Arabidopsis thaliana: one gene and its partner. The protein of the gene in region 2 interacts with the protein of the main gene of each other region in a pairwise test. Each region holds a gene or a part of one and is shown on either strand. Other genes may lie near its edges.

What was found.
Region 1: the proteins of PFD1 (region 2) and NAP5 interact in a protein complementation assay, tested with the Arabidopsis thaliana proteins (one large-scale study listed by BioGRID).

Annotation. Positions count from the first base shown.
Region 1 is NC_003070.9:26,883,437-26,887,325, forward strand, and holds NAP5 (non-intrinsic ABC protein 5), read right to left. Parts: upstream 1,734-3,889; coding exon 1,503-1,733; intron 1,407-1,502; coding exon 1,320-1,406; intron 1,235-1,319; coding exon 578-1,234; downstream 1-577. Other genes in the region: AT1G71320 (F-box family protein), read left to right, coding at 1-382; GDPD4 (PLC-like phosphodiesterases superfamily protein), read right to left, coding at 2,120-2,288, 2,368-2,495, 2,569-2,658, 2,905-2,997, 3,099-3,179, 3,270-3,330, 3,435-3,532, 3,619-3,885.
Region 2 is NC_003071.7:3,043,465-3,047,563, forward strand, and holds PFD1 (PREFOLDIN 1), read left to right. Parts: upstream 1-2,058; 5' UTR 2,059-2,179; coding exon 2,180-2,203; intron 2,204-2,312; coding exon 2,313-2,366; intron 2,367-2,577; coding exon 2,578-2,683; coding exon of another isoform or gene 2,684-2,687; intron 2,688-2,762; coding exon 2,763-2,769; intron 2,770-2,849; coding exon 2,850-2,934; intron 2,935-3,031; coding exon 3,032-3,142; 3' UTR 3,143-3,440; downstream 3,441-4,099. UniProt on the Arabidopsis thaliana protein: Binds specifically to cytosolic chaperonin (c-CPN) and transfers target proteins to it. Binds to nascent polypeptide chain and promotes folding in an environment in which there are many competing pathways for nonnative proteins.

The DNA of each region.
Region 1 (3,889 bases), on a different chromosome or scaffold from region 2:
ATCTTACCAGCTATTAGCTATCGATCTTCACACTGAAGAATTTCGATGGATATTATTACCAGAGTGTGACACCAAATATGCTACTAATATAGAAATGTGGAATCTGAATGAACGTTTGTGCCTATCGGATGTGCTAGAAAGTTCAAATTTGGTCGTTTGGAGTTTACACCAAGAATATCCTACCGAAAAATGGGAGAAAATATATTCTATTAAGATTGACGTTATAAGAACCAACCAATTACATGAAAAGTTTTGGATGCTTGGTCTAGCGGCTGCCTATTTTTCAAATATCAGAAATCGTCAAGATCAAGTTTCTTTTTTTAGACAAAGAACGATTTCGTATTTGCCAACAATGATTTCTCCTTCAAATTTGATGCTTTGATGTTGTTAATTATACTTTCAATTTTTAACAATATTATATGTAAGTTAAAAAGAATATTTTTAAAAAAAAGATGTTTAGATATTTATTTATTTTAAGTATATTGTAATTTCTTTATTTGACATTATGGATTATTTTTATGTTTTATTTTCTCTTGTTTTCTTTCTTTCTGTCAATATAATACATATTTGGATATAGTTATGATGAATATATACAAGTTTTTGAACAAGTTTTTGCAATTTTAAAAGACATTGGAGAACGGAAAATGCAGTGATGCATTTTATGAAACAGTTCAGTAGCAGTCTTGTAACCAGCCGTGACAAGAAGCGTGGCTCTAACAAGAATGCAGAGGGAACTTCCAAATGCCAAAGCAACATACACAACCATTAACGTAGAAAGTTTCACAGGAGCTTGCACATCCTCAGAAATAGGAGTAGCCCAAGCCATCCAGTAGTTACTTCCAATCTGTAGAAGCTGAAAGAGAATTTGCCCCAACAATATGAAAGGCACAAGAGCTCCTCCGTATGCCAGTGTGATATATTTCCAGTATACATCCAAAGCGACGCTACCTTTCGCCCTCTCTTCCTCTTGAACAAATTGTCTTTGGGGCTCCCCAGAATCTAATTTATCGTTCTTCAGATCTTGACTTTCTTGTTTCCCGTCGAAACCAATATCATCTCTCACAACACCATTTTCTTCGTCTAAAGCTGAGTTTTCAGAAACAGAACTGGCATCAGCCGACCCAACTACTGCCAGAGACTCTTGATGCGCACCTATAAGCTCCCTGAAATCTGTTCCAGAGATGAGGATATCATTATATTTTCCAGCTTGGCTGATTCTCCCATCTTTCATGACCTGAGGCATAAGAAAATCGGTTATGGATGATTTCATATTCTCAGTGCTGTAGAAAATGATAAAAGACAGTGAACTATTCACATACCAGTGTAAGATCAGCAGAAGGTAAGAACTCAACTTGATGGGTTACATATATAACCGATTTAGAACATAAAAGCCCTCGTAGAGCTTCCTGAAAAAAGTATGAGAATGAAAATAAATTTGATACATGATTGTTTACGGAAGGAGAAATCACAATCACACTAATGGCTAAGTAAGAAGATTGTACCTTAAAGAGATGTGACCCTGTGTGTGCATCGACAGCACTAAAAGGATCATCAAACAGATAGATGTCCGCATCTTGGTAGAGAGCGCGTGCAATATGTATTCTTTGCTTTTGTCCACCACTCAAATTGATGCCGCGTTCTCCAATGACGGTCTGATCACCGAATGAAAGTATCTCCAGATCTTTACTCAAAGAACATGCTTCAATCACCTTATCATATCGTTCTCTATCCATATTATATAAACAGACTTAATATCAGTCATCTGATTATTTAAACTTAAATACAAGTGTATTAGACCTTGTTCTAGGAGCAGGCTCATATCGTTATGTATAAAAGAAGATATCTGTGTGAGATTGTTTTCACTGTGCAGTCCGAAAAGTGTTGCCTCAGAGTCTCCTGGATCAGATTATCAGTAGCTGTATCGATAGAAGCAATGGCTTCATCAAGAACCGGCCATACTTTGCTTTTCTTGAGAAAGACTCGTCTTACTGTGTATCAAGGCGTCGTAGTGTGTAGTTGTCAAAAACTTGTGGATCAGCAAAACAACATAAAGAAAGATCTTTGCCAAAAACTTCTGAGTTGGTATTACAGTCATTAAGAATGCTCGAAAAAGAAATTCTCACGTCCGTATTGAAAAACCTTCTTCAAGACACTCAGTTCTAAGATCTTCCATGAGACCCTGAAACATAGATGGATCGCTCGTCACAACAGCATCCACACCTAAGTGAAGCATCCTTTTCATGGGATCAGCATCATCCACAGTCCATGCATACACCTCTTTGTTTCTCCTGTTGATCAGATCGAGCAAGGTTGTAAACACATGAGCAGGTGTGTTTTTATTTGAAAACATTGAAATCGATTGCTTACCGACGGACAACTCTAACTAATTCTTCATCGATCAAGGGATGATAAACTCCCACAACCCTAGCTCCCTTCATTCTCAGCAGGCTGTTTCTCGCCCCAGTCAAAGGATCTACCATCACAATGTATCCCACCTGCCAAAATCACTAGGAAATGAGCAAGAAACTTCTCTATCTGATCCTCACAAGACAATCCATTTCTGTTTACCATAGTATCTGGTGCTCGTCTAATTATGTCCCTAGCCAAAGTGTCGCTTTTGGCCCATACGATGCAATTATTGCACTGCGCTCTCTCAATCTAACAACAGAGGATTGGCGATTCATGTGAGCAAAGCCAGAAATACCACCATTGAAACATCAACAATTTATCCATACTCTTGTTTTTTCAAGTATCTATAGTAAGCTGTTCTAGCTTTGTGTACAAAGATACCAGGAAATAAATGATTAAGCAACGCTATTAAGGAATCAAAACATGTTTATAAATCTCGAGCACATTGTACTAAAGCTTTACAAGTACAAGAGCTAACAAAAACATAGTACTTACAATAGAAAGGATGTCTTGTGCTAACCCCTTTTCATACATTGGCGGTCCAACTTTGGCATCAAGGATCACTTTCCGGACTGAATTCGATATCAACTAGATGATTCAAGATCAAAACTAGCTTCAGCCACTTGTTACTAAGCAGAAATTACAAAGCAAAGCAATGACAAGATAGTAATTAAAAAAACAGGCATTACCGCTAAAGCCTCTTCAAGAGTAGGAATCCTACTACTTCCCAAGGTTCCTTTAACAATCTCCGAGACATCGAGTTCCTTGATCTGCAAAAAGATCATCAAAAGGTTTATGAAAAATGGATGCAAAAAAGCATATCCCAAAAGCTGGTAAAGAGAGAGAGGGAGAGATGAGACCTGTTTCATACTCAGATCTCCAACTTGAACAGAAGAGTTACGAGCAATACGCTGCAGATCCCTGACTGTGCGTGTGATCAGAAGATGAATAAGAAGAACACCGATGAGAATCCAAACACAGAAACATTAGAAGAAGATGATACAACAAGGATCAGAGTCTGTAACCTGTTGTGAAGAGCGAATAAAACACCATCGGAGGAACGAGAAACATCGACTTCAATGCAATCAACTCGAGAACGTATAGCGAAACTGTAAGCGTCCATCTACGATTGAGAAGAGTCCAAGAGATTAAGGTTTAAAAAGGTTAGTAGCAAGAGTGTGAAGAAGAAGAGATCGAGAGTGTACGTACAGTGTTTGGGAAAGCGAGGGTGGAATCGCCGCCGTGAGCACAGACAAGTGGAGGATGGTGAAGCCAATCGCACTTTTGCGCGACAATCTGACGAATTCGTCGGAGCTTGAAATGGAAGTAGAGAGGAGGGAAGATAGCTAAGAAAATCACAGCGAAGAGAATCGTTCTCTTGAAATTTCTCGAATACAATGGGCTGAAGAAACGACGGCGACGAGTTCCTCCGCCGTCGAATGGCCGTCTTCTGTGCCGCCATTCAAAAATCGCCATTAGC
Region 2 (4,099 bases):
AATCCATCGGGACAGGTCCTTTAACAGGCTCACTATATTGTGCTTTATACACAGCTGCTATCACCCTTGAAGTTGCCTTCTTCTTGTACATTTTCCGAGTTTCCACAGAACAAGTATGGTCTAGTTTAGCTTTGCGTATCTCATAATATCCACTCTCAGGCATTTCATGAGCTGTTACCCGCCAATCACATTTCTCATCGGCACAGTTTAAAACAAATGAATCAAGTTTTGTGCGTGTTTGTTTGAAGTGAAACATATGCCTAATAGCATATATAGCTAATCCAATTTGGCAATCCGACTTGCTAGCATAAACTTTTCCTTTATATACATCTTCACCGTCAGCCCTATCTATATCCGGCATTATGGCAGCTTCATACTCCGTGTCATCAAACAGAGGAGGAATATCAAACTCTTCATCGTCCACATCCGACAGCTTCCTATTTTCTCTTGCAGTTTCATTTGTATTACAATCACCTGTTCTATTGTTAACAACTTTTCCCGTTCCACTGCTGTTTGCAAGTAAATCAGTTGGATGCTTAATCGAAGACGTTATCAAATCATCAATTTCCATGTTCGAACCTGCACCTTCCACACTGGCCACCAATTCTGTGTCTACTGTTGGTGACGCAAATCCCATTCTAACATCAGCATCTTCTTCCCCGACACATATTATATCCAATGCATTTGAGCCACCCATGTCCTCATCCAAGAATGGGCTCCAAAACTCCACATCATAAGATTGGGGTTTTACTTCTATAATCTCATCCCAAGTAAGATCTTCGCTTCCTTCATCCACTAGATCTTCATCATCAAGATCTTCAGATAAAATTTCACTAACAAGAGGACCTCGTTCACAACCTATAACTCTTTCTATAGTTTCAAGTTCTGCAACAAATTCTTCATCTTCGGAGGACAGCAAAAATTCTTTCAACCCGACCTTCGATATACTATCTTCTGATCCACATAAACGTTTCGACTTATTCCCTCTTCCGTCATCTTCCTTAACTGAACTGGTCTTCACTAGCCCACCGTCAACCTCAGAATTGTTTAAAACTCTTTTACAAGATGTTCCAAACTTTACAAACATGTTGGTTCCAACATTTGCTTCCAATATCTTCATAAAATAACTTAGCCCCACATCAGTCGTCACGACGACCGGTGGTGTTTTATCTCCGGTGGTAAAATCTCTTATATTTGGGGTACAGAAGCTTAAATCAACCTTCGTACTCGTTGAAATTCCAAATTCTACTCTAATGGCTTCCACGAATTCTGATAGCTTAATACCTTTATATACAGGCACAATTCGAGATTTCATTACCTTATTAACCTCAACATACCACTTCTCATCCTCCTCGCAATTCCAATCCCCGCATATTACATAACAGAAGCCATCCTCAGTTCCCTGCAATATATAAATTTTTTATCTTAGACAGTCAATAATATATCAGCGAATATTTTCTACTATTGTTACCAATCCATTTTTTCTTACCATCGTTATGATATCTTTGTTAGTTGCTTCAAACTTCAGAGCTTCTCTTTCTTTTGTTCATCGTCATTCAAACTTCGATGACATAGTTATTCGTTCCATGCTTTCTCCGGTTTGCAAAAACAAAATAAACCGGTTTCCCCAAACTCTTACCCTAAATAACCGATTTTACTTGATTTAATTAATAGGGTCAATTAAGTCTTTTTCCCCCTTATAATTGATCACCCTTATAATTGATCAGAAGTGTGCCTGTCGGCAAAACTTTTGCTCAACATGTTTTCGAAAGTGTATGATAATGCAAATCACCCTTAAAATATAATATGGTAAAATAATTTGGTGGTGTTAGCTGAATTGGTTACGATACAAACAATGGTTTGGGTGGTTGATTATACAAGAAAAAAAAGACAATGACTTTGAGTCTTTGATTTACAAAATCATGGTACAATCTAAAACCAAATGGGTAAATTAAATTGTGTTATTGGGTAGAATTGTTTGTTCCAATGCAAACACATATTTTTTTAAAAGTATAAAATCATCGTTAATTATAAATGGGCCGATTTGACCCAATAAAGCCTTGATAAACCGGGCTAAGCCGTCTGAAACCCGACCCGGGTAGTTCTAACTTTTTGACCCTAAAACGAAAGACCCTTCTCTAGCACGTCGGGGTTCGTTCAAAGATCAAGATCTGCAGACATGGCGGACGAAGCAACCAGAGCTGTGAGTACCTCTCTCTCTCTTAAATCAGCTCAATTTTCTAGTGGAATATTCTTCTTTCCCCAGTAAGATGTTGCAGAAAATGGAATTGTAATGTGTATAGTTACAACAGGCTTTTATGGAGATTCAAGCTAGCATGATTGAACTCACTGGGAAGCTCAAACAGGTGAATCCTCACTTTCTTTGTATTTATCAAGTTTTAGAATCAAACGTGACACATTGTATAAGGGTTTACTTGTAATTTGTTAGTTCTTGAACTGTGTTTGGTTTTATAATCCCTTCTTTCATGTTGTGTAATGACAAAATTGGCTTTCCTAGGTTATTGTCATGTGGTGCTGAAAAACTGAAATGTGAATGTGGATGGGTTTTATATATAGGTGCAGAATCAGATGCGCAACAAAGAGGGAGATAGAAAGCGAGCTTTCTTAACCTTGGAGGAGCTGAGGCCATTGCCTGAAGAGACAAACACCTACAAGTCAATAGGCAAGTGATTCAATTCTCTGGTTTTGAGACAAGGACTAGTAAAGTTTTGGTCTAATTTGTGTTTTATTCTTGTTTTCAGGAAGAACGTGAGTGGTGGTTATTAGTCAGTCCAACTAGAGGCCTTTAGAGAATTTTGAAGGCTGATTATAGTTTGTATGGTGAACAGGTTTGTTCTAGAGCCCAAGACAGTGCTGGAGGGTGAACAAGAGCAAAAACTCAAGGACAGTGAAGCTGCCGTTGCTTCTCTACAGGTAACAATCATTCCCTCTTTCAACATCTTATTGGGTTATTAGGAGATCATTGAGATGCTGGTTATCAAACATGTTTTGTTTTCGGGATGATTTTTAGACATCCAAGGAATACTTGGAGAAGCAGGTAGCAGAGGTTGAGAACAACTTGAGGGAGCTGTTGCAGCAAGAACCGGGCATTGCTCAACAGATTATGTCCATGTCTATGTAACTTTTGTATTATCCCAAACCTTTGAGTTTGGAGAGCTTTTGGGATTGAAACCATAACATGTTCTAGTTAAAAGTTGTAACATTCAAAAGTTTTTGTTCGATCAGTATTGTTTTAAAGCCTCTGGTCTATGATATTGCAAAAAACTGAGATTTCTTATGCGACAACAAATGCATGATCTATCTAACTCGAAAACAAAAATTTTAACAAGGATGAGGTCTCTCTATGATTCTTCGGAGAGAAAACTCAATCCTTGTTCCACCGTTCGGTATGCTTACCGGCTTTCGTTGTCCGGATGAGAAGACTTTGTTTCCGGTGTGGTCTGGCTCTGTTTTCGGTGTGATTCGGCTCATATTTCGGGTATTTGTTGCTAAAATGGAATTCGCTTTGTTTCTTGAGGGAAGATTAGGATAAGTCGATTGAATAATTTTCCGGCGATCTTGGCCGGAATTGAAGCTTTCTGATCAACGGAGACTCTCACATCTTCAACTTTGCATGTGTCTTCTAACCTGCTTCCTGCTTGCCACATGTCTAATATAATGCATTTAAGCTTTTCCTTCAGCTTTCTTATTGGACTTTGTTTTCTTTTGTTTGGCTTCCTTGGTTTAGTGTTTGTAAAATATTGGCATGTTACTTTGGCTTTCTATACTAAATAAAACACACTTTTGACAAAAAAAAAAAAAAAAAAAGACTACAACTCGAGATTGCATCTAACATTGTGAATATATATAAATTTAACCTCACAATCTAAACACAAGTAGATGTAATATATATTATGAATTCAGTGAAACAATAGTTAAAACTCAAGTTGATCAATCATCAATAGCATGTGAGCAATAAGTGTCAAAAGAGATACACATACACATCAAACCCCAACAAATACATTCCTTCATGTACACTGATTTTACACTACCTCTTCAAGGAAATCATGGATCATAATGTCTATTGGCATCTAAGCAA